Linked DNA regions of Lonchura striata. The protein of the gene in region 1 purifies or fractionates together with the protein of each later gene. This does not show direct contact. Links are inferred from orthologs where the notes say so. Each region holds a gene or a part of one and is shown on either strand. Other genes may lie near its edges.

Region 1 (7,145 bases):
TTAAGAAATTTATGAAACAAAATGTTTTGTTAAAGTATATGATGAAATCACCAGGAGTTTAGTTAAAACAGGCCCTGAGTTCCTTAAAGATGCTGCTGTTTCGGGCTCGCCAGTATTAATAAGCAGCTTTCCTTTACATGACAACTGAGGCAAACTCCCACTGTCTAAACACAAATGGACCCACACTGCTACTGCTTCTCACTTCAGTTTTTAAGAGGGTAAAGAACATCCTGGAAACCATCACCAGTTAAAATTCCACATCCTTACAGTCAACATGGACTGCAGAAAAAGTCGGGCCCATTGCAGTTTGATAGTGTCTTGGTTTTAATACACCACTCAGAGCCTCTACAAGGTATGAATTACAAATGCAATAGGCTTTGAGGGATTCACAGTTATTAATGAGGCTTTGTGTGCCTCAGTTCTGCATGCCAAAAATCATCATGGACTGATTCCTCCTATGGAACTCTTTTTACAGACTTTTTTTTTAATATGTGAACACACTCCAAACCACTGCTCCTGCATTTACATGAGCAACTTATGCATTTGCCTTGCTTTAAAAATATATATATAGAGATACTATTCAAGGTCTTGCTGCTGCTTTCATCTTCTGCAGGATCCTGTTTTTAAAAACTCTGCTTTCACAGTTCCTTTGCTGAATTTTTACAAACATTCTCACATAGACAAGAGCAGGACTAAACATCCTCTGTTTTCTGTCCTGCTCACCTCCTTTCTCTGGGGATTTTCTTGCCTACTGCCTCTTAAACCTGCAGGCTGATAAACCATCTACTCAGTGTATGAGGCTGGAAAGCACTTCTCCAGCAGTTATGGTACAAAAGAGGGAACTCAAAACTGCCAGTGCTGACAGCTACAAAATGCAACGGAGAAGTGCTGCCAGGTACAGGCAGAATAGAGAAGAACACATTACAAGTGTTTTGAAGTGAGGTGTGCTTGTAAGAAATCTAACAGAGCTCATTAAAGACACAGGATTTTTCAAGCTGACTGGGGGCTTATAAAATACAACAGGAAAAATTCCCTTCAAAATAAACCGGAAGCATGTGGCTGTGGATATGCTAGCTAACCAAATGGTAAGACATCCATTGTAAAATTTATTTTTCTTGTGCAGTTTCAGCAATTCCATATAGAAAATCACACCATGTGACTTTGTTATGTTTCAGTTTCCTTGTTTGCTGTCTCACCTGCCTCTCACTGACACGAAGAGGACCAAACACCATATACTGGATTAGCTTAGCAACCAGCATCAGAAAACAGCAGGCAGTGTTCACTAATACCTGGAAAGAAATAAAGCAGTCAGTGACAAATACTTTTGCCCTATTTAGAAGAAGTGAGAGAAGGGGAATGAACAAGTCTAACAAAACCTGTCATTGTTCACAGAACAGTATTAGTTGCCTTTTCTTTTGATGAAATTTAAGCCTGGCCTCTTCCAAGACACATGAAGTAGCTGATAAGTCTTAGCTTTTTTTTTCTAGAAATACTAACACATTCAGTTTGATACAGCAGTAAAGCCAACAAACTGCTCTACCACTTCACAACAAATTATTTCATACAGATTAGAAAATTTCATAAAAGAACATGGGGACAAAGCTTAGAGATCACCAAGATGCTCCTTTTGTTTAACATAAGGCAGATGAGAAAAATCCAGTTTGAATCTGTTGTTACAGTAAGAGGATTCAGAGGTTGCCTCAAAATATGCTGAATAGCACATATCCCTTCCGTAATAACACGGCTTGAGGCTTTCTTAGGAAACTTCTTTACAGCAAAGTAGCAAGAAGCAGAGCACATGGGCCTGGGAAAACTGCTATCTCATATTTGACAAAAGGATTTGTAATTAACTTTTGACCTAAGCAGGACACTAAAAAGGCTAGAAGGTAGATGATGAAGAAGCTTCACCCTGTCATTTCCAAAGGACATCACTTGTCCAGGATTCTTAAGGCTGCAAGACGAATTTTCAACAGGATGAATATATATGGCATATTAAAAACCAGCACCTCGGTCAAGTAAGTATGCTGTGAAGTGGATGTCCAACTACTGCCACCTTTGAGTGACAGACAGATGAAAAGTTCAACAGCAACAACTCAGCAAGGTATCCAATATCGCCTTGTTGAGCCTTTATTTCAACTGCAAATCAGTGAGCCAAAAATCATGAGCCATTATGAGGTCTGGGTTTTAAAAAGTACAGAAAATTATTTTCTCTTTTTTCTTTTCCTTAAACGGTGAGAATGTTTCCTCTTACCTACCAAACGTTCAGTGCTATTTAAAAGGAAATAAACAAAGGCAGCAAGGCTCGAGTACCTGACAGCCCCTTACTCTGATTTCTGGCAGAGCAGGTCGGGCAGCGCTTGGCGAAGCTGAGCGCTTGGGACCGCGGCAAACGCTCCCGACAGCTTCTCCCAGCCCCCCGGGCAGGACGAGCGGAGGCGCTCGGGGAGAGCAGCACAAGCCGCGGGCTGAACTCGGCTCTAACGCTGCCCACCGCAGCCAGGCAGGAAGGGAAGCGGCTGCGGAGGCGGCCCGGGGAAAGCCAGCCGAGCCCCCTTCTCTATTCCGCGAGCAGTTTTCAAACAACAATAACGAAACTCCCCCCGGGCCCGCCCACCTGCCCCCGGCCGCGGGGAGGTGCCCAGAGGCCGCCGCCAGCCCCGCAGGCCCGCAGGCCCCGCCGCCGCCCCGGGCTCACCCAGACGCAGAGGCTGTCGGAGAGCAGGTAGTAGGCGACGTCCAGGGCCCGCGGCCCGGCGCAGCGCTGCGGCTCGGCCAGCTCGGTGCCCGCCGCCCCGCCGGGCGCCTGGCTGAGGGCGCGGTAGGCGCTGAGGCCGGCGGCCAGCAGCGCCAGGGCGCTGAGCGCCGTGTAGGTGCGGAGGCTGGGCCAGGGGAAGCGCTCCAGGAACAGCAGCGGCATCGCGGAGCCCTCGCGAACGCCCGGCCCCGGCTCGGCGCGCTCCCCCGGCTTAACGCCCGCCCCGCCGCCCCTCCCCGGGGCCGGGCGAGACGCCCCCACTGGATAAAGGAAACAGACCGGGCCCGAGCCCTCCGCCCCGGCTCCGGGCGCCGCGTCCGCCCGTCACCCCGCGCGCTGAGTCACGGCCGGGGCGGCGCTTCCACCGGCCCGGCCCTGCCCCGCGCCGCCCGCGCCCGGGACAGCGGCCGCACCGCCGGAGCCGCGCCGGGGGGAAGCAGAGGGGCCTTCGGGAGCCCCCAAACCTACAGGCAGGGTGGCAGAGAGAGCGTAGAGACTGCAGGAGCAGCGCCCTTCCACTGACAGCCTGGAACAAGAATTAGTCTCGCAAACTACCGTGTGGTAAGGTGAAAGGTGCTCTTAAGTGCCAAGGCTCAAAAGCTGCACTCTGCTCCTTGTTCTTGCAGCATCTGACTTCCAAACTTCCACCTGCCTTTTCTTACTTCCACAGGCAAAAAGATTCTGTTTTCCACTCTCCTGCTACCTGTATTTCCCCTAGCTGGTAGCTGAGAAACCATATATTCTACTCACCATCTGTCTGGGCCTTCCTTCCATAGGACCAAAGTGAACAGCCCTTGCACTCTCCCAGCATTTTGCAGTACATTTGCCATACTGCACAGCTTCAATTTGACCACCAAGCTGTCAGGATTGTTCTGTACGTTGCTTACCAGTGCAGATGGCAGCAGAAGCAAGCACTTTGGCAAGATTTGGTTCTCTTGGCAGCAGGTGCTCTCCAACCCTGCCTTCATAAAAGAGGACAGTGCACAAGCAACAGTGCATCTTCTGATCACAGGCAGAACTTGGAAACAAATCTTTCAAAGACTCATTCATTAAGCAAAATTATGGAAGACTAAAAGCACTGTGAAGTGTCACATCCAAATGGACTTTATGTTTAGCCAAGCATGTAAAATCCCCAGAAGTAGAAAGATTGATATTTACTGCCTACAAGAAACTGAAATGTTGAGAAAAAGCAAAAGTGGGTATCTTTTGCAGGATGAGACGGCACAGGACAGCATAACATGGAACCACTTGCATGTGGCATTGGTTAAGTGTTTCAGCATGACCCTAATTCTGTCCCATAGCTAAGAAAAAATATACAAAATTAACCTCACTTTCCCAATTTTAACTGCAGCTCAGACCAGTCCAACAGAATTTTTGGGGTTGTTACTGTCTCAAGGGGGCACTGAAGGAACAGATGCATGCTGCATCTCCTCCAAGCCCTGTTACAAACCGATCGGTTCTGGTAAAAAAGGTAAAGGCTACGCTTGCCTTTAAGTACTCATTCTCCCTCAAAAAAGCAGTTCTGGTCTCCAAGTTAGACTTAAAACAATATTGAATCCACTTAAGCTATTTCATTTCTCCCTGATCCTAGGGATATTCCCTTCTCACGGATAAAGATCCCAGCATCTGAATGGGCCCTGAATGGCTTAGCTCCTCCTCATTCCAAGATCATCTGTATTCCTGAAGAAAATAATAAAGCTTAAAATATGCATCTAAGAGACAATAAGGAAAAATAAAAGAACTAATAAACAGAAGGAAAAACAAACCAAACAAACAAACAAAAAACCTAAAAAAAAACACAACAAAAAGCAAACCAAACCCAAGACAAACTGAATCTTAACCATATTGTTTAATGTTGTACAAAACAAAAAATTGGTGAGTATTACAATGATAAGGGATTATAACACTGGTAGCCCATTGCCATCTCTCTAGCTAAACAGTTGAAATTCACTTCTCTGTTCATACCCTAGAATGTTTAGTGGTCTTCAGGAACAGAAAGACTTCAAAAAATCCTTGTGTCACACATATTCGTTTCTCTACAGTTCAAAGCTGTGCTCACAGAGACGGCTTCTTCTACTGGAGTCTTCAGGTATATAGGAACTCAGTTGTAAATAAAGTTGAACCTAAAATTAAAAGGATTATACCAAGTGAGGAATTTTGATTCTTTTTTTTAAGGGCATTTTTGAATGAATAAGCAAATGTTTTGTTTTTGCTCTGGATAAGCCTCCACCTGACAGGACAAAAGTACATTTTTTCATAAGACAGCTTTACAGTATAGCAGTATATATATCATTTTTAACAGCCAATCCTACACTAGCATTGCACAACTGTCTCTTATGGTTTGAGAAGAACTAACTATTAACATTTCATGTCCTAAAACAAGGTCACAGATACATAAATCACAGTGAGAGTTACATTCCTCCATCAGCAACTCTTTTGCAGCACTTCTGCTACTAGACCAACCTTACATGTTCCAAGGGGAACACACAAACATACTGAAGAGAGAATTTTTCCCAGCTAAGTTTCATAAATAACTGTGGAAGCAAGCAATCCATCTCAGCTTCCAGGTGCCCAGCCTTTGCATGTGTCTGTTGCACCACTACCCAACCTGCATGACAGTTTGGCTGGTACTCAAGAGGAAATACCTGCTGTCTTTAGAGGAGGGGAAGCCAAAATTTGGGCTAGAGAGAAAAATACTCAGCAGGAAATAAGATTATGTGCAAGACCAGTGCTAACATACTTTTTTCATCATAGTAGGTAGGTGACAGAACTACTTCCCTGAGGAAGAGCTGGCAGGCTGTGGGACTCCTAGTATGCCTGAACATGCTCTCAAGTAAGAGACCAGTGAGCTCTGGAGAGACAAGCCACAGCCATTCCCAGGTAATAAAGTCAAAGCATGGTATACATTCCAAGAGAAAGGAAAAAATACAGCTGTCCCTACAGATATTTGTGTCATAAAGATGCTACACTTCATTAGCTCTACTAAAGAGTGTAAAAAAACCCACCACATTTAACCAGCACAAAGCTGTGATAATATGCATACCTAACTCAGTGCTTCAAATTTACATCCTGGCTTTAACTCTCCAGCTGTCTCCAACAACTACAAGAAGCTGCTCCTCAGTCTGTGCACAGCCTCATCCTCACATCTTCCATGTGTTCCTTAACTACAGCTGCTAGGTAGGACTTTGGTGCTAGCCAGTTGTGATCAGTGCCTCAAAAGTGTCCATGCAGTTCATCTGAAGCAGAATCTTTGGGATAGATGCCACCTTTTCAAGTTGGTTTCTGTAGCACCTTGCTTTGCTCTGGTGTCCCACAGGAAACCATGTTCCCAGAGCCACTATACAAATACAACATACCTGCTCAAAAGTTGAGGAAGGCTGGAAATAATAGGTCCATATCCTGGTGCGTTGTCATAGAGCTCAAACAGTGGTGCAGCAACCAGCTTGTAATTTTTGGGGACTGCAAACAAAGCTAAAAACAAATACAAGTTGATGAATCAAAAAAACCAGCACACATTCAGCCAAGGGATCATCATTCCCCACAGACCTCAAAACAAGTTCACTACATAGAGCACTCAACCAGGTTTATTGCTTTTTTAGTTAAATATGGGATTCACATCCTGTACACAGACTGATGCAAGCAGGAATAAAAATTTACTAGGAAGTCATGTTCAAAGGATCATCTACCTTCAAAACAAATACCAGCATTTAACTTTGTTAGTGATCAACCACAAACAACTGCAAGCATACACATCTTGGTATAACATACCACAACATACACAATCACAACTTTGTGTTCCTTGAGTGAAATGCAGGCATTTAAATATTGTTACAAATACAACCCTTTGATCCAAACAAACACTTACCCTTTTCTTGAAGCTGGACCAAAAATAGCTTTTTGTGTTCTTTTGGCTTTGTAATATGAGCTGGGATATATGGATACTAGAAGAAAAATGGTAAAAAACAGTTGTACAGAGCTTTGAAAATACTATGTAATCTTAAATGCTACTTTATAAATTATCAAGCCCTGTACAAGTTTTCAGTGTGTCATATATTATTCTTTCATGGCATCAAATAAAACCATTTTCATAAGAAAGTACTTAGGAAAGGAATGCTGTTGCTGTCACAACTATTGACAGGCTCTAAAGTGGCATCAATATCATAAGCAGTTAAAACAACCCAATAAAACAGAAATGCATAAAAGCAAACTAAGCAAACTAAACAAAGATTTTCAATATTAAAGCCCTTAGAAATAGGGTAGTGAGACTAGGGCATGTTCCACAAGCAGCAGTACAAGAATCTCCATTGTGGCTACAAAAGGAATATAAATGGTGCATATGTCTCAATGTAGAACTGGAAGCTACTACATCTAGTGGTTTCTCATCCATCAG
Region 2 (6,889 bases), on another chromosome or scaffold:
AACTTGTGGGGCTCCCCGAGGTGGCTGTCAATGCAGGGGTACAGCAGGCCAACCACAGCTGCAAGAGAAGGAACACCACTTGGACCAGCTGCTAGGCAAGGATTACTCCAGCACCACCAAATATTAGCTTGGCACATAAGGGCTTGAGAAAGCAACGAGGTGCTCATCGCACCGCTGTAAGCCTGATGGAGAAAGCACAATTATTACCCAGCTTTTCTTCTTTAGAGAAGTGAAAACCCCAGTGTAACAAGCAGCATTCTCTTTGAACCTTTAAATATATATTGCATTGTTAAGGTATCTGACTTGAAGCTCTTTTGTTTAAAGAGATTTGTCATTTGACATCCTGAGCAAACACTTGTACCAATAAAAGCAAAGCACAATAAAAGCTTTGCGAGGAGTGCAATCTGTGTTCATTGCTCACGTGCAGGGCTGACAGCTTTATGAACATGATTCATCAGCTGTGAATCAGGCCCTGAATTAAGTATTTGCCTGGACTTAAAAAGTTTATTAGCAGAGCTGCTTTCTCTCTTTCTGCTGGGCTGTAAGTCAGCCCAGGGCTCCTGTCCATGTTGTCAGATGAATTTTGATACCAAACAGAAGCAGAGCTGAACTTAAACAAGCAGCTGCCATCAGTCTACTTATATCAGGGAAAAATAACTACTCATACAATTAACAAGACAAAGTTTTTATCTCCATAAAGCATTTTTCAGCCTTTATCAGCCTGAAAGTTGGCTGCAGAAGAAAACCATAGGCCAGTGTTAGCTCAGTTGTTGGCAAGAACACCAGAGTTTCATTCTTCTAGGGATTGTAACTCCCTGAGTTGTCACCAACTCCAGGGTTAGATGTGCTGCTTTTACTAAGTGCAACTTCTGTGTTTATTTATTTCCTTTCCTGCTCTTTTTTTTTTTTTAATTCCTTAAACTCCTAAGAGTAATAAATTCTGTGTTAGAGAAGGCTAGAGAACATGCTATTCCAATAGAGACGTGTTCTGAAACAGCTTAATTACTCTGACACCAGCTACCAGGACTCTTAACTTATGCTAACACCTGAATTCCAAAGTTTAATCCAACTGTGACAGGACTACAAGAACTCTCATTGGAGAATATCCCAGGCCATCCCTTTAATGTTCATCCTTTAATGTAATCCATTAATTAACACAGTTCATTATTTATTCGAGTTTATGGTTTATCATTCATACCCCCTTCACTGTGTGATACAAGCAGACATCACACAAAACATTAAACAAAATATGCATTAAACAAAAATATGCAGAAGTTGTTTAAAGTATTTTCAACGCAAATTAAAAACTGTTAAGAGTGGGTTCGTTTCCTAAAATTTATCTCCATTTTTAATCCTCCAACCCTTCACCAAAACTTTGTTTTGCCTAGACAGAGGGACTGGGGGGGGGGGGGGGTGGGGGTGTTATGAATGATAAACCACGAAGTATGCGCCAGCTGCTGTGACAACCACACCGCGGCCTGAGCCTTCTGTGGTACTTGCCCAGCAGTGGTGACAGGGACAGCAGGCAGGGCACGGGGAGGTGACAGGGGCAGCGGGCGAGGTGGCGAGAGCAAGCAGGTGACGGGGGCAGCGGGGAAGGGGCACACAGGTGACAGGGGCAGGAAGGTGACGGTGGACAGAGAGGTGACAGGGACGGGGGACAGAGAGGGGACAGAGAGGTGACAGGGACGGGAGCAGGGCCCGGGCCGGTGGCGGGGCCCGCTGTGGCGACAGGGCCGCGCGCGCCGCCGCACGTGACTTCCTTGTTGTGGCCCAGCCCGTGGCCAGTCGCGGCCGCAGCCAATGGCGAGCGCCGCCCGCCACTCACCAGTTCGGCGGCAGCCAATGGGCGGCGGGGGGCGGGGCCAGCGCGCTCGCGCCGCGCTCACCGCCGCGCCCCGCGGAGCCCGCGCGGAGCCCGCGCTTCTCGGCCGCCCTCAGAGCGCACCGCCTCCAGAGCGGCCCCGGGACACGCGGGGACGGACCGGGCGCGCACCCTCCCGAGTGCCCGAGCTCGCATCTCTCGCTGTGGGATGGAAACGCGGGGCTCCCACGCGCACGGCTCAAGCATTCAGCCCCACCGCCTCTCCTCCTCCGCGAGAGGATGAGGAATAAAGCTGAAATCGCTGGTGGAGGTCAGGCACTCACCTGCTGCTGTGCCGCAGCACGGGGGCACCCACCAGGCGGAGGAGAAGAGAGTAGAAATCACTTCGTCGGGGAACAAAGTCACGTTCCGCTGGATCTGCAGCAAGTTCAGCACCAGGGCCATGAAAGCACCCACGACGAAGAGCACCACGCTCCTCTGCACCAGGTGCTGACTCCAGTTCAAGGTGCTGCTGGCGCTGCTGGCGGTGCTGCTGGCGCTGGAGGTGCTGGGGCTGCGAGCTCCGCGACCCACCAGCGCCAGCGAGGGGCTGGACACGGAGGAGCTCAGCATCTCGCCCACCTTGGCGGCCAGCCCCGCCGCCGTGTCCCCCAGCTGGCTCCTGTGCCTTCCTCTGGCGGTGCAGGAACAGCTCCAGGCGCAGCTCTCCAACCTGGGCATTGGCTTCTCCGGAGTCCTGAAACACACGCACAACCACACGCTACTAAAGCCCCAGCAACGGGTCGGGCCGCGCCTCCCTCCGCGCTGACACGCACCGCCGCATCCTCCAGCGCCGGCCGGGCACCGGGGGATGCGGGGTGACCCGGCCCGGCCGAGCAACCCCGGGGCTGCGCCGCCTCGTCCCCACGGGAGCACACGGACCCCGGCCCGCCGCCCCCGCGGGGACGGGCATCGCTCCCTGCCCGGGCCCGTCCGTCTGTCCCCGGGCACCCGCGTCCCGCTCACCTCGGGATGGAGAGGGGGGCTGCGCCGGCCGCCGCGCCGCCGGCCCGCGCCCCGGGTAAGGTTTATAAACCCCGAGCCGCGGATGTCACGTTACCCGCCGCCGACCTACCCGCGGCCGCAGGCAGCGCCGGGCCCGCCGCTCCGCTCCGCGCCGCCGCCCCGCCCGTCCCCTCCCCGCCGGGCGGGGCGAGCGCCGGGCGCGGGAGCCGCCGCGCCAGCCCCGGGCGGCCGCGGCCCCGCTCGGGTGAGGCGGCGCAGCCAATGGCGGGCGGGCGGCTGATATGACGTGCGGGACACACCACCCGCCTCCCGGGCCCGCCGCTCCGCCCGCTCCGCGCCGCCGGCGGCGGCAGCGCGCCCGGGATGCGCGCCGCTCCCGGGCGGGAAGGGGAGGGCGGTGGAGGGATGGAGATGCCGGCGGTGGTGACGCTGTCACGGAATCATGGAATGGTCGAGGTTCGAAGAGAGCTTTAAGATCATCGTGTCCAACTGTGAGCCCAGTGGCGCCGCTGTAGCCCTTAAACCACTAAGCCGCATCACCCAGTGCCAGCTTCAGACACTTCTTGAACACCTGCAGGGTGACTCCACCACCTCCCTTGGCAACCTATCCCAATGCCTGACCACCCTAAAAGTGATTTTTTTTTTTTTCAGCTATATAATCTGAATCTCCCCAGACTCATTTTAAGCCCAAGTGTCAGTGGCCGCTGCAGGCAAACCTTCGTGTGCTTGCCCAGCCTGCTGCGTGTCCCTTTGGGTGATGGCAGTTAGTAATGGGGAAGGCTGAAGGCGTCTGCTGTGGCCTCTCCTGAAGACGAAGGGATCACTGATCTCTGTCATAATTCTAAAATGGTGTAAGGGGATCCTGCCAAGGCTATGACTCCGTAAGATGGTGGTGCCAAAGCCAGACGCTGCGTCAGCAGCCAGCCATGGGGTGACCGGAGGATCCGAGGCTCCTGACTGGGCCCTGACAGCCTGAGCAGCTGCTCTGCCAGCACTAGCAAAGCTCAGGTCACAATCCTGCCAGACCAAAATAACAAAAACCCAGTTAAATACAACTTCACCCTCTGTACTCTGCAAGGGTTTGGGAAGAGGCCTGTCAGGGATGGTTAAGTGTGAGCTGTATATTATATGGTAGAGTTCAGCACCAAAAAAATGAGTACACAGAGCAGGACTCAGCTCCCAGGATGCCTTTTTGAGACGCTGGTTCTCCAGGACACATGGGAGGCTGGCGTTTGCAGTAGGAATTGCTGGGCTTCGTGTTTATTCGCTAGCCTCAATGGTCCAGCAGATCTTTTCACATGAGGTTGTGCCATTGTTACACTTAGGAGGAATACAGGACCCAAGGGCTTCCCAAGGGATGGCACTGAGCATTCAAGGGTAGCTGTTAGCCATGCCCATGATGGGCACAACGATGGTCCAGGATCAGTGCTCAGTGGTGGTTCCAGTCGTCTTTCACTGATGTGATAAACGTAGCAAATAAAATACATGAAATCAGTTGAAGATATGGAAAGAGGCAGGTCTTCTCTGCATTAATGAAGAGTAAAATTGACCTGGGATATGGCTATCCCTTTCTAGCTGGGATAGGAAGAGTTAGCGTAACTGATCCTGCTGAGCAAAGTGCCTTTGGAAAATGTACAGGACAGATTTGTTAGTGCCACTGTTGGAAGTGACAGATGAGCCCAGTATTTTTCTCTTAATGCCAGCTGGGATCACCCCAGTAATGTCTGGCAGACTTTACTGCTGAACCAAGGTACATGTGTCCTCTGTAAGTGGAATTGTAAATACTCAGTTTCTGTTGCTATTTACAGTACTGAAACAGCTTTTGGTTTTACTTTAATATGCTAAAATTGTTCAGATTCTTCTGTCAGATTTTTTTTTAAGACACAATATATTTCTCTTTCTCCATTTGTTTTTGGATTTTTTTCTGACCCAGTTGGATCTGCACAAAAAGTTTCAGTCAACTATTTTGAGAGAAAACAGCCTTGATATATTGTCAGCTTTTTATGGGTTCCTCTGCACAACATTTTGTTTCAGGAAATCACATGCAGACCTAACACTTCCCCTCATGGCCACTGTGTACAAGCTTTGAATTGACACAGACAATTTATCTGCATCCCCACACCACTAAGAAACACCTTCAACAGCTCTAAATAAGGGCTAGAACTCATTCCCTGGGAAATATTCTTTTTTGGTGAATCACTTACTTTGAGATTTATCAACAGGACTGTGGATCTGAGATAAAATGATTCATCTTTGTAGGAAATCTCTTCTTGGACTTGGCTTATGGGAAACAAATATAATTCATCCTTGCTTGTGCTGCATCTCTACTTTATTTGAAAAAATATATTTCTGTATTTAAATTCCCCCCCTGAATCTTGCCCATATTTTCAGTGTTTGGGCAGAGTTTATATTCCCTTGTGCTGCATCTGCTAGTTTTCCTTCCTAAAAGAACCTCTTAAGCAATTTTTTTTTTCATCCTGTGTTTTTCCTTTCCTCGTGAGTATGCTTTTTTTGCTATTTCCTGCAGAATATTTTATTTGAATATTTTATATGCATTTTTTTCATATTCATGATATCATGTGGTGGTGCCCTTCTTTCTTCCTGGTTTCTTTTGAGACAACAGAGACCAACTTCTGAGAGGGTAAAACTTGCTGCAGCTTTGCTAAAACCAGCTGAATCAGTGCAAATCTAAACTAGTCAATAACCTGTCCCTGAGCATATTTTCCCCAAAGTTACACACTTAGAATGAAGGTTAAATGCCCCTTTTGTTCGTGTTGCTTTACAGTCCTGTTGCTTTACATTTCTTTTTGGAATCCTAAGGAAGGTTAGGCCTCAGCATGCTTTGATTAATGCCTGAAATTTTATGCTTAACAGTTATTTCTGGAAAGAAGCGCTCACATGTCTTTGTAAGATTAATGACATCGTTATTTTTATCTCATCCCTTAGCAAAGGCAGCAGAATCTCTAAGTATTCAGCCTTGCTACTCATTACATAAATAAATAATTTCACCTGTTCTTTCACACTTTCTGTGTTAAACTCTGTGATGTTCTAGAATCTGACAATGTGCTTGCCTCATGAGGGCTGTCTCATGGGCCTCTTACGTGGGAAGTTTAGGATACTTGGACAAGTTATTTTTCTCCCTACTTAAACCAGATCAAAACATGAGCTGTCTGCTGATAAAAGCTCAAAAGGCAGTGGTGAAGAATCACAGAGCAAGGCCTGTTTTATGTGTAAAACTGCTCTCCCTCTGCTTCACTGGAGACTTTTTTGACTTTATTCACCTTCAAGAATTTCTCCTATTGATACAGAGAATAGAAACCTTCCCAGTGTCATATGCTCAGCCTTAATCTCCTGTGTCTCTATGAAAGGATTTAGTGACATTCATTGTCTGATTCCCTATGCCAACCCTATGTGCAAGAGTTCAAAAAATCTTTCGACTTCAGCAGCAGTCTGTCATCCTGAGTTCTTTGCTTTATCAATGGTCTCCAGTGTACTTGTGTGAATTCTCAGGAACCTGCAGCAAAGCCTGCAGATCACAGAATCATAGAATGGTGTGGGTTGGAAGGGACCTTCAAGATCATCTTGCTCCAACCCCCTGCCATGGGGGTTCCACTAGATCAGGTTGCTCAAGCCCCATCCAACCTGTCCTTGAACACTTCCAGGCATGGGACATCCACAAATTCCCTTGACAACCTGTGCCAGGGTCTCACCACACTCACAATAAAGAATTTCTTCCTGCTATCTAACCTAAACCTACTCTCAAGGTGAAGCCATTCTCCCCTGTCCTGTCACTTCAGGCTTTTGTAAAAAGTCCCTCTCAATGTTTCTTGTGGGCTCCCTTCAGGTACTGGAAGGTCACAATTAGGTCACCTTGAAGGCTTCTCTTTGCAGGCTGAGCAATCCCAATTCTCTCAGCCTTTCCTTGTAAGAGAGGTGCTCCATCCCTCTGATCATCTTGGTGGCCTCCACCAGAGTTGCTCTAACAGATCCATGTCCTTCCTGTGTTGGGGACCCCAGATCTGGATGCAGCACTCCAGGTGGGGTCTGAGCAGAACAGAG
Region 3 (7,986 bases), on another chromosome or scaffold:
TGCCAGGATGCCCCTGAGCACATTGCAATCCAGCTCAGCTGGGTTGGTGTTCTTATAATCCATTTGCATATGTCTGCACTGTGTCTCCTACTAGTACCCAGAGCCACTGGCTCTTTTTTCCAGAGCATACCAGCTCCTCCAATATTCCAGATAACAGAAACAATTTCCACAGCAGAGGCAAACTGTCTTTGTCCTTTAAGAAGGTGGTGTCCTTTGTTTCCTGGCTTCCCTATCTCACAGTCATACCATGTACCAGGTATGTTTATTTTTACTTTTACATCTCCTCGTTCCACCATTATAGATGTTAATCGGTCTGTCAGAGGTGGCACAGCAGGCTGCAGGAGCCTTCAGTGTGCCCTGGCATGATCATTGCTATTGCTGCTGAACCAGGTGTCCACTTATTTCATTCAGGATCACTCATACAGGTCCCCTCATCCACTGACACTGCCTTCTGCCAGAGGTTCCCAAGCCCCAGGGGAAGAATACACACATACAGTTCTCTGGTGCAACATCAGGCACCAATTCATTAACTACCTGAACAATCAGATTCTGTGCATCAGTGACAGAATCCCACACTCCTGTGTGGGATTTGCTGCACACACAGAAGCAAGTCTGAGGGCACAGGGACACCTGAAACTGCCACAGTTGTGTCCTAGGTGAGCATATGTCACTGCACCTAAATCCATACCTCTACTGGAGTTTGTCAGTGCACCCATACCAGCCAAATCTTATTTTAAAAACCCACTTTAGGTCAACAGGTAAGTTCAGTAAGAACATATGTTGTATTTGGTTTTGAGAAGGAAAAAAAAAAAAAGCATAACACTAAGTATGGAGCTGTATCAGGGAAGGTTTAGGTCAGAAAGGTTATTTGCCTAGAAAGTGACCACACACTGGAACAGGTTCACCAGGGCAGTGACCACAGCACCAGCCTGACAGAGTTCAAGAAGCATTTGGACAATGCTCTCAGACACATGGTGTGATTCTTGAGCTCTCCTGTGCGGGGCTAGAAGATGGACTTGATAATCCTTGTGGGTCTTTTCCAGATCAGGATATTCTATGATTTTCTTTCTGCAGAATGATATCTAGTTTTTTTCCCTACCACATATATGCTTCTTATGACAACCATTTCCCACTCATCCTTCTGATGGATCAAACCTGGAAAAACTTGTAAATACTGACCATGACTCTCCACCCATTCAGTCTAACAAGGATACTCTTCCTCCTACATTCTTTCTCATAAAATTATACACAGACATATGCCATTGAAAAGTCCCTCTATAGTATCTACTGGGGGCACAGAGAGAGATAAAAAATCAGGAGCTGAAAATCAAGGCACAGTATTATCAGATCCATCTGAAAAAGACTCTTCCCTTTTTTGGATTCCTCACAGAAAATACAGCTACAACTAACACCCCTTTTTAAATGCCAGAAATATTCCTCCCCTAGTCAGAGGGTGCTTTCACACTCAAACAGAACCACAGAATCAATTAAGTTAGAAAAGACCTCTAAGATCATTACATCCAACCTGTGACCAAACACTATCCTGTCAACAAGACCATGGCACTGAGTGCCACATTTCAGTCTTTTCTTAAAAATACCTCCAGGGATGGTGACTCTACCACCTCCTCGGGAAGCCCATTCCAATATCTAATTATCCTTTCTGTGAAGAAATTCCTCCCAATGTCCAACCTGAACCTCCTTTGGTACAGCTTGAGGCTAAGTCCTCGGGTCTTGTCCTGTCTCTGGTTACCTGCGAGAAGAGGGCAACCCTCACTTTGCTTCCACCTGAACCTCCTTTTCCCAGCCAAAACAACCCCAGCTCCCTCACCCACTCCTCAAAGGACATGCATTCCAGATGCTTCGTCAGCTCCACTGCCCTTCTCTGGACATACTACAGCACCCAAATGTCCTTCCTAAATTGAGGGGCACAGAACTGGAGACAGTACCCGAGATGTGACCTCACCAGTGCTGAGTACAGAGGGACAATCACAGCCCTGGTCCTGCTGGCCACACTATTGCTGATACAGGCCGGGATGCCATTGGCCTTCCTGGCCACACTGACTCATGTTCAGCTGGCTGTCAACCAGCACCAGATCGTTTTCCTCTGGGCAGTTTTCCAGCCACTCTTCTCCAGGTCTGTAGTGCTGCCTGGGCTGGTTGCGACCTAAGTGCAGGACCTGGCACTTGACCGTTTTGACCCTCATACTGTTGGGTCTCGGCCCATTGATCCAGCCTGCTCAGATGCCTCTGCAGAGCCCTCCTGCCCTTCAGCACACGGACAGTACCACCCATTCTGTAAGGAGCACGCAGGCAGCAAAGCTTTGACGTATCATTTGTCCTCGCCTCTCTTAGGACTGTGTGTGGTGCCCAAGTGCACACTGCAGCCAGGTCAGCTCCCCACTGCTGCTTCCAGACGCTGCAGAGTCTGTGTCCTGTAAAACAAGCTCAGAGCCAGCCCCAGAAACCTGTGAAGTCAGTTCAGGTAGCACCGGGACATGAAATTATTTACATTATAATTATGCTGTGCATAAAAATAAAGCTAAGCAGAGCTACGGGCACGTTAGTCCTTACGTCTGCCTTGTCAATAAACTGGTTTTAAAAATAAGTCTAATTTCAAATTAAGAAAATAGGTTTGTTTTTTTTCTTTTTTTGATACTTGGCATGGAGGTCTGTATGTATGCAAATACATATAAACACACAGAGAGACACAGACACACACGGACATGCACACACCTACACAGGCAGACACACACACAGACACACCCGCGGCTCCTCCCGCCGCCGTACAATTTAAAAGTGCAGCCAAGAGAGGACCGAAGGCAGCGGCTCCCCCGGGGCCGACGGCGGCAGCGCCGCCCGCGCTCCCACCCCGGGGCGCCGCCCCGCCCGGACCGCGGCGGGCCGGTACTCACAGAAGCCGTTGGAGCCGGTGCTGGTGAACATGGCCGCGGCCCGGCCCGGCGGGCGGGCGCGGCCGGCGGAGCCCCGAGCTCGGCAGCCCCCGAGGAGCCGCGGCGCGCCGGGGCCGGGGCCGGGGCCGGGGCCGGGGCCGGCGCGGGGAGGGCTAAGGCGGCCGCGATGGGCCAAACGCCGCCGCCAGGCGACAGGGCGGCGCCCCCTGCCGGGCCCGGCGGGTGAGCGGCGGCGCTCCGGCGCGCGTGTGTTTTCTGGAATCACTCCTGCTCCCAGAAATGGGAGAAGCCTCTTTCCGCTGAGGGAGGCAGAGCATTGGGACTGGCTGCACAGGGAGGGCGTGGGGTCTCCCTCTCTGGACGCGTTCAAAACCCACCTGGTCACATTCCCGTGCCACCTGCTCCAGGGGACCTTGCCTTGGCTGGGAAGTTGGACTAATCCATCTCCAGAAGCTGCCGCTTCCAGCCCTAACTATTCTGTGATTTCATGATTTAACACGATTTAAATTTTAAATATGTAGGTGCCCTGAGGAAGCCTGACTCCTTGCACTTGGGAAAACTGTCCCTCAAGGCTCACCGTGATTTGGGGAGTCCAGCAGGTAAATGTCTCATTAGAGCTGTGGGTGAGCTGTCATTACAGCTAACAGAGACAGAGCTAATACAGACAGCGGAGTTTGGAGAGCTTTTCAGGTGGCCAAATGAAGGTGTCTGCTTTAGGATCAAATTAATTCCTCCCCAGGCTCCACCAAGGGACCACATTGAAGAGATCACCACGGGCTCTGATGGCACATCTGACTCCAGCTCTTCAACAGGATGGTAGGCACCATATTTCAGCTCACCATATGAGGTGAGCTGAAATCCCGATTTCAGAGGAGATATGGTATCATAAGGCTGAAACTATTAGGGCACCAAATTTCACTGACATTTTCAATGAAAATGCAGAACTCAGATTTTACTGAAATAAGTCATGCTAGGCATTTAAAAAGGTGACAGTGCTTTGCAGCACGAGCTGTGTGCACTTTGTGTTCATGTGATGATGGAAATGCGGGCCTCAAATCACATTTACCTTACTGCAGTACAAGACTGAAAACCAATGCCACTCTGGAACTGCAAAATATAATTTGTCAGCTAGGTAACAATTTTTAAGTAGGCAACCAATAATAAAAATTTTTAGGTAAGTAATATATTTCTTGTATTCCATAAATTTTGTAATATATCATAAAAATGCACTTTAATATTTGCATTCAAATGCAATTATTAGCTAGCATTCCAGAGTACTGAGTTCCTGAAACTTTGTAAATTTAATCTCTTAAATACTGCCAAGGCGACAGTCCGCAAAGACTTCAGCTAAGATTAGCATATCAGCATGTATCTTTTAAATGGCCAATTTCCAGCACTAACTTCAGATTTCTGTTGCTCACTTGTCCTCTCTGTACAAGGCCTGCATCAGGTAGGTGGGATTGGGACTCATAATCCGCTCACAGAGCAGAAGGTATGTCTAAACCAGCCAGGAAGAAGAGACAAAGAGCACATTAGAAATCCTGACTTATCCCAAGTTGAGGTTCTTTCCTCTGAAAAGAATCTAAATTGGATTCACAGCATGAAACCCATCACATACTTTGTGTCTTTGGCTACAGAAAACCAGCTTACTCTCTGCTGTCAAAGCACAGCTGGAAGAAATTATTTGCTACAGAATTTTTCCTTCTTTCTTTCAAATGCAAATGACTGTGGCTGCTGTATGCTACATATGCAAACTCTGTCTTGCCAGTGCACTGCTGAATGCCTGTAACCACACAAAAGTGACAGGCAACCCTCATTTCTAAGAAATGGAAGGTAAATAAGGAGGTGCAAAGCCTGCAAAGCTTGTAAGAGCTCCAGCGTGAAACCTCTTTGGAAAAGCTTGGGTGCCTTCTGAAGCTGGGATCTAATGAGGTACTCATGGCTTAATTAATTACGATTTTGAATGTTTTCGACTAACCTCCACTTAAAGTAATTAAGCCTTTTTGTGGATCTGGCTTTACTATAGGTGAGGATAAAACCTATCCAGTATCTAAACTTTTCCAGAATTGCCTTTGTAATAGGTTTAGGAATGTTGTTTCAGTGGTGAAGATAAAGCTTGTTTTTTTTTTTCTTTTCACAGGCTCTCAGAATCGAGTGACAGAGCAATCATTATTTAGAAGTTTACAGTCCTAAGAGCCAAGACCTAGTATTTTTCTGTTTTATAGGCTCTGCTTTGAAGATTTCCCTAGATTGATGTACTGCTAGGTAATCATATTAGAGGGATTCTTCTCTGCAATGTAGGGCACTGGAATTGGATTCAAGTCATAATCACTGAACATACTAGAGACTTAGGCATGTATTCCACTGAATGAGGATGCATTTGGGAAATGTTTAAGGGCCAGTTTGAAAGCAGCTCTGTGGCCTTGCTATCATTGACAGATACAGCAAAGCTGGATGAGTAGCAATATCTGGCAAACCAAAACCCTTGCAAATTTGTCAATACTGCTGGAATACAGGCAACTGTCTCTCAATCTATTTGCTGCTATCTTATAAATGTCTACAAATATATTTCAGAATCTGTGAAACCCCTGATGTTTTTATCCCTTGTTTAAAAAAAAAAAAAAAGTCAATATTTCTGAGATTACAGCAGATGAGATCCACTATGTATTTTTGAGAAAACTGCACATCCCTTGCTAATAATTATAGTTTAACATATTGATTGAATAGTAGAGGAAATGTAGTTTTTGCCCTCAGATTCAGTGCCGAGAAGAGAGGTATTTTTATCACAACATCATCACTGTCAACTGGTAGCATGTCATAAGAATTAAACAAATTATTTGCATTGTTAAGTATAAAGTGTTGACTACTTTGGAGTTAAATGAAATCATCAGTCCTCATGCTTGCTTTGGAACATATCCCAGAATAGGAAGGCTAGCACTTATCTACTAATCTACTCAGAACAAGCTTAGAAGGCTTTGACACTGCTCAAATGTCAGCTTGAATATCTCCCATTTGTTTATTACATCTAGTTAGTGGGGTCAATGTGGTATGGTCAAAAGAAAGTTATTTAAATTTCCTGCTCAAAAGTAAATCCCAGGAGACTGGAATTTAAATTTCTAGCTATTTTCTAAAATGATTAAGTTGCTTTCTTCTCTGAACTTGTGATGTTTCTGAAGCAATTCTTAATTACTAATTAATCTCCAACAGTCAGATGCTCCTCTGGCATATAGAATGAAGGACAGCAGCAGAGTAAAACAGGATGGAAATGTAACACCTTGCTTAGGAATTTTCTGACTAAACTCGGTGTAGGTTAATGATTCCGCAGGTTAATTGCAAGTGTTCTCTGTCTCTTTGACATCTAGGGTTTCCAAGGCATTCATAGCAGCTCTTGCAGTTATTACAATTACCTGAAATATGAACAGATACATAGAGGTTAATGCTAAATTTAATGATTTCAGTAACTCCTCCCTACAGTTTCTAACCTTTGTGTTTGGTTACAGAAGATGTTAAGGAAAACAGCTGTGCAACACACATTTCCTGCAAAAATCCAGGAGCAGTGCAGCTTGCTGATAGCAGCTTGCTGATAGCAGCTTGCATTGGAACAGGAGGAAGGACAGAAGGCAGATACTCACTCTGCTGAAATCAGACTGATTTGACCTGTACCTTTCCAAAATTAGTGAATTTCTTTCACTCATTCGGAAGTGAAAAATACTTTATGCTGCAGCAGACCTGTCCTCTTAAAGTCTAGTGTGTGTCTAACATTTCATTACATAGTTTTGGGTTTTTTTACTGGAGCTAGAAGATACAGAATGTTTTCTAGCTTAGCTCTTTCCAAGTAGAGCTGGTAGGCGTACCGTTAATAAGGAGCAATGGAGTTCCTGAAGGAGTATTGGGCTTTGTTGTATATTTTTGCAATTGATTTTCCATCACACTATTATAAAAAAATTTAGGACACTCTAACATGTTCCATTAGTTAAGGTTCTCGCCATGTGATTTTTGCAAAATTTAAAATGCTATTTTAAACCTGAATGCTATGTCAGTGCCTGGTAACATGAATGTGGGAAACTATTGCTTCAGTTACTCAAACACATCACTGCCTCATTTTTCAGCTGGACCCCCTGAATGGCAAGCAATGACAATGCAGTAACAATTTAAGGTACTGGCTTATCTGGAGCTGAGCCACATACAGTTTTACACTGCAGGTCTTAACCATCACTTCCCTTTTAACCATCAGTCATGTGATCCTAAGCACTGGCACCAAATGCACCCAGATGTTGGCATCTCTGTGTTCAAGGTGCAGCACCAAGCACTTGATCAGCAGCTTGGTCTCTAAGTACTTGTAAAACACTGCCTAAAGGTACTTAAATTCCATGTCACATTTATTTTCAATAAATTTATTTCAATGAAGGTTGAAATCCTGTGAAAAACAAGAACATATGGCAGGCATAATCAGGAACCAGATCCTAATACAAACATATTGGGAAAGCAAGGTTAAGATAGAATATTAAAAACTCAGATTAAAATCAACAATTAAGAAGCATCAGAATCAATCTGCCTATGTTCATGTTTTATTTCACTTAGATGAGACTTCTTGTGAGAATTAAAAATGCACTGGTCTAGCTGCCCTTGTCTGAGCAGCTGTTGCTGCATTTTAGATCACTCATTTGAAGGCCATTAATTTACTGCATAGTAAATTGTGAAACATAGTAAGCATTAGCAAAATGATAATGTTTAAGCATAGTGCTCAGAAGATCCAATTAAGGAATCCGTTAGGAGGGCAAATAATTACATATAGCATTGCATAACACAATGTACTTTGCATATCTGTGTTCTCTGATGCATACAAGAGATCAAGCACTAGTCATCTATTTCAGACTGAATTTATGTCAAAGAGTACCTTTGCGATCTGGAGCATATGCTAAATTACCCAATATAACTATCAGTGATAGCAAAAACACTAGAGCCTTTAAGATGCAAAAAATTATTTGTATTGTTCCACACAGGTATGATTGTGTTGAAATTGCCTATTCTGAAAATCAGATGTTAGAAGATATTTATAAGATTTTTAAAGGCC
Region 4 (7,780 bases), on another chromosome or scaffold:
ACTCTGTTTTATTAACATTGCCACTAAAATTCACCTTTTAATTTCAATGTGGTCACTGTGTGCCACCACTGATTTAATTTTTTGAACAGAAATTTTGTTGAGGACCCTGAACATAAAAGACAAGGAGAATCACTGGGTTTTTTTTTACCCTGAAGAGTCATCACTTTAACTTGTGGACGAACCAGCACAACAGGATCTGTAACCCAACTCAACCAGCCCTCTCCTCCTGCTTGCTACAACTCCAGCAGGTCTGTGCTGACAGAAGAATCAGCCTGACTATCCAGCAGGAATTTCATTTGGAAATGAACTCCTTCCCATCAGGAGGATTCCCACTCCCTGTTTCCTTCTGCCTGCTGCTGGGGTCAGCACCTGTATCAGCCACAGGACTCAGAGTGGAAATGACCAGTCTGAGGGCAGAGCAAAGCACAAGTAAGGGAGTGTCAGAGAACTGAGGGGAGAAGCCCAGAAAAATTCAAGATAACATCACAATAAATGCAAACATGCTCTGAACAGCTCCAGCAAGAGTCAGTGCTCCCTCCTGTTGTTACAGAGGGATAAATGTGTGTACATCTGGGATTAATTCTATGGCAGGTGCCTTTCCTTCCCGATCCCTGTGTCCCAGCACTGCAAAGGACCCCAAGGAGTGCATCTAGAAGAAATACAAGTGGAAGCCATACCTTGTCCCACAAGGCACATTCTTCACTTCATCAGTCTGCAGCGTGGTCTGCAACACAAACACAGGCACTGTTCACAAACCTGACTCCAGGAAGGCCCAGACTCCCACAGTGGCACCACAGAGCCAAAAGCATGTCCTTTGCCACCCCTGTGATGCCTGCAGGTGTGGGCAGAAGGCAAAGCTTCTCCTCCCCTGCCTTTTGGGGGATGCACAGGCAGCTGTGCCTGTTTCCCTGCTCTGGAATGCGGTGCTGCAGGGGAACAGTGACAGCCACAGACATGGACTGTCCTGCCTGAGCAGGACACTGCCACTCCCAGCGGTGTCACACACACACACGGTGGGGAGAGCTTTCCAAGGGGACAAGTGTGGCTCCCCAGGGCAGGGAGAGGGCACCGACCTGCACGGATTTGAAGGTGGTGATGAACGGGAGCATGATGTGGTAGCCAGGGCCGCTCGGGCTGGTCAGCAACGCTCCACCCCTGAGGAGAGGGAGGAAAACAGGCTCAGGAAGGTGCAAACAGCAAGGGCTGCCTTTGAGAACATGCAGGGACAGCTCGAACTGCCAGGGGTCACAGAGAGTTGCATCAGTGCCCTAAATTCGCCAGCAATTCCACAGAAAAAGGGCTGAGTGCACCTGATCTTTGCCTGCTGCAACTTTGCGTAAAGCCTGCGAGCCATTAACTCTTGGAGCAGGCAGCTATTGCCAAACCCTCCCAACATTGCAACACTGCACAGAGCTGCAAGAACACAGACTTCTCCTCTCTAAATAGTTCAGTGGTAACCATGGAAAAATCCAGCCATGGATGTGATGCTGCCAGCTTGGATTTCGGCACAGCCCCTCGCCCAGAGAAAAGCCCCCTGGGGTGTTAATGCTGAACACCATTGTGGTCAAAGGAAAACATCCACGGTGCTGAGCAGGAAGGGCAGGGAAAGCATTCCAAAGCAGCGACACAGCAGGAGCTCTGGCTGGGCGACTGCTTGGGACAAAGGTGACAACTCTTGCTGGCACAGAGGGAGATCAACAGATGCGAGGAGGGACGCGGAGAAGCTCTGAGATCAGTGTGAGAGGGCAGGGAGGAAGGAGGGGCAGGAGAAGCAGCCGAGGGCTCAGCCAGCCCAGCACACGCGGGCTCTGCACGGGGCGAAGGGAGCAGAAGCAGCACGGGTGCAAACCCTGGGGGAGAACCGGAGGGAGCCCAGGGCAGAGCGACCCGGGGCGCCGAGCTCCGGAAGGGCTCCGTACCTGTAGTACACGGCCAGGTGTCCCTCCTCGACGCGGTGGATGGCGGAGTAGAGCAGGAAGACGAGGAGCCCGCTGGCAGCCGCGGCCGCCGCCCCGGCCTGGGCCATGGCCATGCTCGCATCCCCTCCCGGCGCCGGGCTCCGCGGGCCCTGCCCGGCACGGAGCGGCGTCAGCGCCGGGCCCGGCACCGCCCGGCACCGGGACACGCCCGCACACACGGGACAGGGACGGGACAGGGCCCGCGGGGACTGCCCCGGCACCGCCCGGCCCCGTCCCCGTGCTCTCCATCCCGCCCGTATCCCTACCCTGTACCTGCCCCTACTCCATAACGACCCCAATCCCTGTCTCAGACCCGTTCCTTTACCCCAATTCTTGTCCCATCCCTGTCCCACAGCCCTCCCAATCCTTTATCCCAGTCCCTGTCCTGTTCCTGTCCCTATCATCTCAATCCCAATCCCTGTCCCTACCCTTTACCCTAATCTCTGTCCCGTTCCTTCGTCCCAATCCGTTTCCTTTATCCCAACCCCTGTCCTGCTTTTATCGCAATCTTTTACCCCGATCCCTGTCCCGTACCTGTTCCTGTAGCCCAATCCCTGTCCTGTTCCTTTATCCCGATCCCTGTCCCGTACATTTACCCCTATCCCTGCTGTCCCGTATCTGCCCTGTTCCTTTACCCCGTTCCCCCGCTCCCCGTTATCCCGTACCTGTCCCGTTCCCTGTTATCCCATTCCCCCGTACCTGTCCCGGGCCTTTACCCGCTCCCCGTTACCCTATACCTGTCCCGTTTCTTTACCCCGATCCCGTTGCCCCGTTCCCCGTTATCCCGTACCTTTACCCGTTCCCCGTTATCCCGTACCTTCACCCCGTTATTCCGTACCTTTACCCGTTCCCCGTTATCCCGTACCTTTACCCGCTCCCCGTTATCCCGTACCTTTACCCGTTCCCCGTTATCCCGTACCTTCACCCCGTTATTCCGTACCTTTACCCGTTCCCCGTTATCCCGTACCTTTACCCCGTTATACCGTTATCCCGTACCTTCACCCCGTGCCCCACGTGCCGCCGAGGCCGCGCTCCCAGCCCCTCCGCGCACGCGCGCTGGCGCGCGGCACTCTGGGCGCGCCGGGCCGGCGCGGGGTGATGACGCCACCGACCCCCCCCCTCCCCCTCCCCAGTTGCCAGGCAACGGCGCGATGGCGAGTAGGCCTCGGCCTGTCAGCTCCGAGTTTATTCATTCTATATACACGCACTATACATTCATGGGTCACACCGCCCCCCGCCCTCAGGAGGCTCCACGGGCCGGGCCCAGGCCGCTGCCTGGGGGACAGCCGGTGGGTGACACGGTGATAGCAGTAACACACTGGTGATGGCCATAAAACACCAGGGATGGCCATAAAACACCGGCGATGGCCATAAAACACCGGCGATGGCCATAAAACACCGCCATGTCCCACAGGGAAGGCGGCCCTCAGCACACAGAAGGCACTTGGGTGATGCAGCACCGCAGCTCCTGGGGTTACTTCAGCCAGCTCCAGTCGAAACTCTGCGAAGAGGAGCAAAAACACGACTGAGCGCAGGGTCTGGATACTGGATGTGTGTCTTGCTTGGCGAAAAATCAGTGACTGCCGTGAGAAAGGATGCTCTCAGCACAATGCAGCACAGCACAGGAGCCCTGTGAGCCCACTCTAGTTTGGGAGATCTCGGGATTCCCAAAGGATGAGTGCCTCCTCTCTCCTCTGAGCAAAGAGAGAGCTGGGATGGCTCAGCCTGGAGAAGTTCCAGGGTGACCTCACTGTGGCCTTGCAGTGCCTGAAGGGGCTACAGGAAAGAAGAGACTATTTCCAAGGGCCTGGAGTGCCAGGACAAGGGGGAATGGCTTCACACTGCCAGAGGGCAGGGCTAGGTGGGATTTTGGGAAGAGACATGTATCCATGCACACTGGCACAGGGTGCCAGAGAACCTGTGGCTCTCCCTGAATCCCTGGAAGTGTCCAAAGCCAGGCTGGATGGGGCTTGGAGCAACCTGGTACCTTTTCCTATTCAAGGATTTCTCCACATGCCCAGGGCACCCCTGGGTGTCCCCTGAGAGCCAAGTCCTGGCAGATGCCCCAGCACTTACCATCATGCTGTTCTGCTCCTGCCTCACCTCCTGCAGAATGCTGCTGAAGAGCTCGAGGTAATTCAAATTCTCCCGGATCACGTCAGCAAAATTTTCCCTGCAGGAAGGGAAAAAAGCCCCAAGGTGATGGATTTCAAGCAGCACCAAAAGTAACACCCCCATCAAAAGGTGCTGCACTGATGGAAAAAAAAAAAAAAAAAAAAAAAAAGAAAAGAAAAAGGAAAACAAACAACCCAAAAAAGTTATTTGTAGTTTGTGCAGTGGTAGGTGACATAAAAACCTGCCTGGAGGTGGCAGGACAAAGGAGAATGGTTTCACACTGATAGAACATAATTAGAATTGTTAATGAAGCAAAGAGCAAAACCCCTCAGCGCCACAGAACTCAGCATAGACTGAGGGAGAGGAGCCTTAAGAACCAGATCCAGCCCCAAGGAAGAGCAACATGACATGCAATAAACGGATGCACAGTCCTTCAGCAGGGCATGTACCATGTGGAACTAGCTCAGAAACAGCAGAGATTTCTGAATAGAGAGTTCAACCAAATCCCTGATTTTTTAGAGCGTTAGTGACATACACACTCCTGAAACCACTGTGGGAAGGACAAAGCCCCTGAGATGCTGAGTTCCCTGCAGTGGCTGCTCCCCAGCAGCAGCTCATACCCATCTTCAGGAGCTGCCAGCGAGGACAGAGGGTGAGGAGCAGTGTTCCCTGAGGAGCTCTGGGGGAGCCATGTGGCTGCTGGACTTGAGGCTGTCCCTTCCAGGCTAGAGCTCACCAGGGATCGGGAGGAGCTCTGAGTCTGCAAGAAAGACATTCAGAAGAATTTAGGCTTCAATGATATATAGGGAAGATTTGGGATTGCACCTGAGCACTGCTGGTAACACACACAGAGATGTGGGAACCACGAGGTGGCTTCAGGCACTGTAATTAATGCAAAAAAAGGGAACTCTTAAACACTTCAAACTAACCAGGAAAGCACCTATTTAACTTCTGCTTTTACCATCTCAGACTGCCCTTCTCTACAGGAAAAAAAAAATCCAACCATGGTGTGGCAGTTACCCCTTTTTGCTGAGTTTACTTCCCGGCTCAGGCACTGCAAGAAGTGCAAACAACCCAACAGCTACTCACACAAGCAATTTTCAGCAAATGCCAGATCTCCCTTTGTCTTTTTCCCTGCATCTGCATCACTGAGTTGTCAGCTTCCTTGATGTTATTCAGAGCCACCTCAATCTCGGGGAGCAGGTCAATGATCTTCTGCTTGCAGCCCAAGAGCTTGCTGGAATGAAAAGCAGACACAAAATCACTTCCCAGCACATTTTAACAAAACCAAAAGGATCTTGGGATCCAAGATACTTGAAAAATTCATGTACAAATCACTGCGTTATCTTCTCTGTAACACTACTGCTTTTTTTTTTTTTTCCTTTGAATTTGAAGGAACTTTTTTTCCTTTGAATTTTGCAGGAATTTTAATTTTTTTTTTCCTTTGAAGATTTGTATTCCAACTTCCAACTGGCAGAATTTGCCTCATTTTAAAGTGAACTCTTGGATGCTAACAATGTTTTTAAAAATGAAGTGGAAACTCAACACAAAGGAGCAGAATTAAAGCTATGAGAAATGTGAATGGAGCCTTTTGGGTTCTGACCTCCATGGTTTTCCCTATCCTTTCTGACGACAAAGCTACAAATGCTGCAAGTTGGATTTGTTTGGGGTTTTTTGTCTGCATAAAGTACCTGAGGTGGCCAAAGAGCTCCTTGAGGACTCGGTCCTGGCTCTGCACTGTCTGCACAATGATCTTCACCATGTCTGTGCTGTCACTGTAGGCATGATCTGCAAGGGCCAGCAACCACCACATTAGTAAATCCTAACAGTATTGCCTGGGTTTCAGTTCAGAACAATTAATCATGGGGTAAAAGTGTGAAAGTCTTTAAATCATCTTCTTCCATACCTGGAGGTCGTGTTTTTAATTGCTTGTACAGGTCTATGGCTCTCTGCTCCCTTTAAAAAGAAGAATATGATTCAGGCAGGTGTCGGCAGCCAGCTGACTCAGGAGAAAAAGCACTGCAGTGAAGGGATGCCTTTTGGAACTCAGACACTGGACCTTCTCCTACAGTGGGCCACAAGCATGGCCTTTGGAACACAGGGATCCCTTTCTGTGATGGAATCCAACACTTTCCCCAAAGCTGTCTCTCTTTTTCTCCAGCTGTGCAATTTCTTCTCAGAAAACCACACCAAGCGGAGCTTATTTTCAGTTTCAATTCTTCCCATGGCTTAGCTGTGATTCCTTTCCCCTTCATTATCTGATTTAATTTTTGAAACTCTGACTGTACAACTGCCTGAGAAGTTCTTGTTCCTGCTCTGCATTTTTTGCCTGAATTTTAGTGATATTTTGTAAATGGAAAGAGACAGCTGCATCACAAGCAAGACGACCGTGCTTCTCTTCTTCCCATTAAATAAACATTACTTCTTTCAAGCATTTCAAAAAGTCACACTGAAAACTTCCAGCCTTGAACAAAATCCTCCCTGTTCTAAATCCCAGTCTGTCAGAAACAAGCAGCAGCTTCCCAGCCCTGATCCTGGTGGAACTGCAGCAGTGGAATTGCTTAAAAATAATGTTTAAGGAGGCACAATCCTGGTTAGTTTGAGCAGCTGCTGCAGGAGGTGGCTTCTCCTTTGCACCACTTCCTCCCCTGTGCACCAGTTCTGCTGCAACTACACAGGATGAAAAGCAACTTTGCAAAGAGGGAGGGGGGAGAACATACCAGGAGCAGGCACATTTCCTCCCTGAACAGTCAGAGCTGTTCTGAAGAGCTCTTATTGACAGGTTTAATGGCTGTTCAATCCTTTTCTTTTAGAACTGCCACTTGTGCTCTCAGTAGCAGCCCAGTAACTGCTTCCTATCTCTCCTCAAGATCAAAAATACCATTTAGCTCTTTCGTATTTTAATACTTAAAAAAAAAAATCAACTTTCCAAATATCCAAGTACCCATGAGATAGTTACCCTTGATTTGAAAATACTGAAGGTAATAGGGTTTTACAATGCTCATGTAGTTTTCTCATTCAACAGTAAGAAAGTCATTCCTCTCCAACACAAAAGGAAATCCCCACTTGAGACCAAGATTTATCTTAGAACTAGGCTCTTGAAAGATGAGGTTTCACAGTTCAGTGTCCCACGAGTGGTAGGATCTTTCCTTTCACAAGCAAAATGATCTCAAATCAACCATACATTACTCTGTACTTGTGGTTTGCATTTCAAAATCGCTGAGGGAACCAGCTACAGAGGGGAAAAAACCCCCTCAGACACTGAAATACACAAGATCCAATTTTCTGCAGTAAGAATGAGCAGCACAGGACTCACAGGCTCTCCATGACCTCTCCTTGGCGCCTTGCATACGGACTCTTCTGCAGCTCCACGATCTCCGTGTGCAGAGCCATGATCTGCTCATCCAGGTAGCCAATGTCTTCAGCCTGAGTTGAAATGTGGGCACAGATCAGGCTCAAGGAGAGCAATCAAGGAGATAAAGATCCCCAGAACACTTGTTTAGATAATGGGCAGACTGCCTGGAGAGTTTAGGAGACAAAAAAAAGCTCCTTGGCACAGCACTGCTACAGTAATTGAGGTTTTTGTTCTCAGTGCATGGTATCACCTACAACCAAACCTCTGACCACCAACACTGGCTGATAAAAATCAGTTTCTTCATACATCATCTCTCTGTGTCTCTGGATTGTCTCCTAGACTAAGATGTCCC

Evidence for each region.
Region 2: the proteins of AMFR (region 1) and INSIG1 purify together in Homo sapiens (affinity purification with western blotting; 6 studies listed by BioGRID and IntAct, with this or other methods). This does not show direct contact. The link is inferred for Lonchura striata from reciprocal best matches to the Homo sapiens genes AMFR and INSIG1.
Region 3: the proteins of AMFR (region 1) and UBAC2 purify together in Homo sapiens (affinity purification with western blotting; 4 studies listed by BioGRID and IntAct, with this or other methods). This does not show direct contact. The link is inferred for Lonchura striata from reciprocal best matches to the Homo sapiens genes AMFR and UBAC2.
Region 4: the proteins of AMFR (region 1) and ERLIN1 purify together in Homo sapiens (affinity purification with mass spectrometry; 3 studies listed by BioGRID and IntAct, with this or other methods). This does not show direct contact. The link is inferred for Lonchura striata from reciprocal best matches to the Homo sapiens genes AMFR and ERLIN1.

Annotation. Positions count from the first base shown.
Region 1 is NC_134615.1:15,556,578-15,563,722, forward strand, and holds the start of AMFR (E3 ubiquitin-protein ligase AMFR), read right to left. Parts: upstream 3,006-7,145; 5' UTR 2,918-3,005; coding exon 2,696-2,917; intron 1,290-2,695; coding exon 1,197-1,289; intron 1-1,196. Other genes in the region: NUDT21 (cleavage and polyadenylation specificity factor subunit 5), read right to left, coding at 4,857-4,878, 6,112-6,226, 6,621-6,696. UniProt on the Homo sapiens protein: E3 ubiquitin-protein ligase that mediates the polyubiquitination of lysine and cysteine residues on target proteins, such as CD3D, CYP3A4, CFTR, INSIG1, SOAT2/ACAT2 and APOB for proteasomal degradation.
Region 2 is NC_134603.1:149,213,871-149,220,759, forward strand, and holds the start of INSIG1 (insulin-induced gene 1 protein), read right to left. Parts: upstream 3,005-6,889; 5' UTR 2,940-3,004; exon of another isoform or gene 2,831-2,939; intron 2,562-2,830; 5' UTR 2,546-2,561; coding exon 2,149-2,545; intron 59-2,148; coding exon 1-58. UniProt on the Homo sapiens protein: Oxysterol-binding protein that mediates feedback control of cholesterol synthesis by controlling both endoplasmic reticulum to Golgi transport of SCAP and degradation of HMGCR.
Region 3 is NC_134604.1:78,098,137-78,106,122, reverse strand, and holds the start of UBAC2 (ubiquitin-associated domain-containing protein 2), read right to left. Parts: upstream 3,012-7,986; 5' UTR 2,944-3,011; coding exon 2,913-2,943; intron 2,433-2,912; exon of another isoform or gene 2,293-2,432; coding exon of another isoform or gene 2,286-2,292; intron 1-2,285. UniProt on the Homo sapiens protein: Restricts trafficking of FAF2 from the endoplasmic reticulum to lipid droplets.
Region 4 is NC_134609.1:37,327,763-37,335,542, reverse strand, and holds the start of ERLIN1 (erlin-1), read right to left. Parts: upstream 3,009-7,780; 5' UTR 2,955-3,008; intron 2,069-2,954; 5' UTR 2,033-2,068; coding exon 1,920-2,032; intron 1,156-1,919; coding exon 1,074-1,155; intron 725-1,073; coding exon 678-724; intron 1-677. Other genes in the region: CHUK (inhibitor of nuclear factor kappa-B kinase subunit alpha), read right to left, coding at 3,816-4,131, 4,694-4,833, 5,163-5,310, 5,765-5,861, 5,980-6,029, 7,390-7,499. UniProt on the Homo sapiens protein: Component of the ERLIN1/ERLIN2 complex which mediates the endoplasmic reticulum-associated degradation (ERAD) of inositol 1,4,5-trisphosphate receptors (IP3Rs).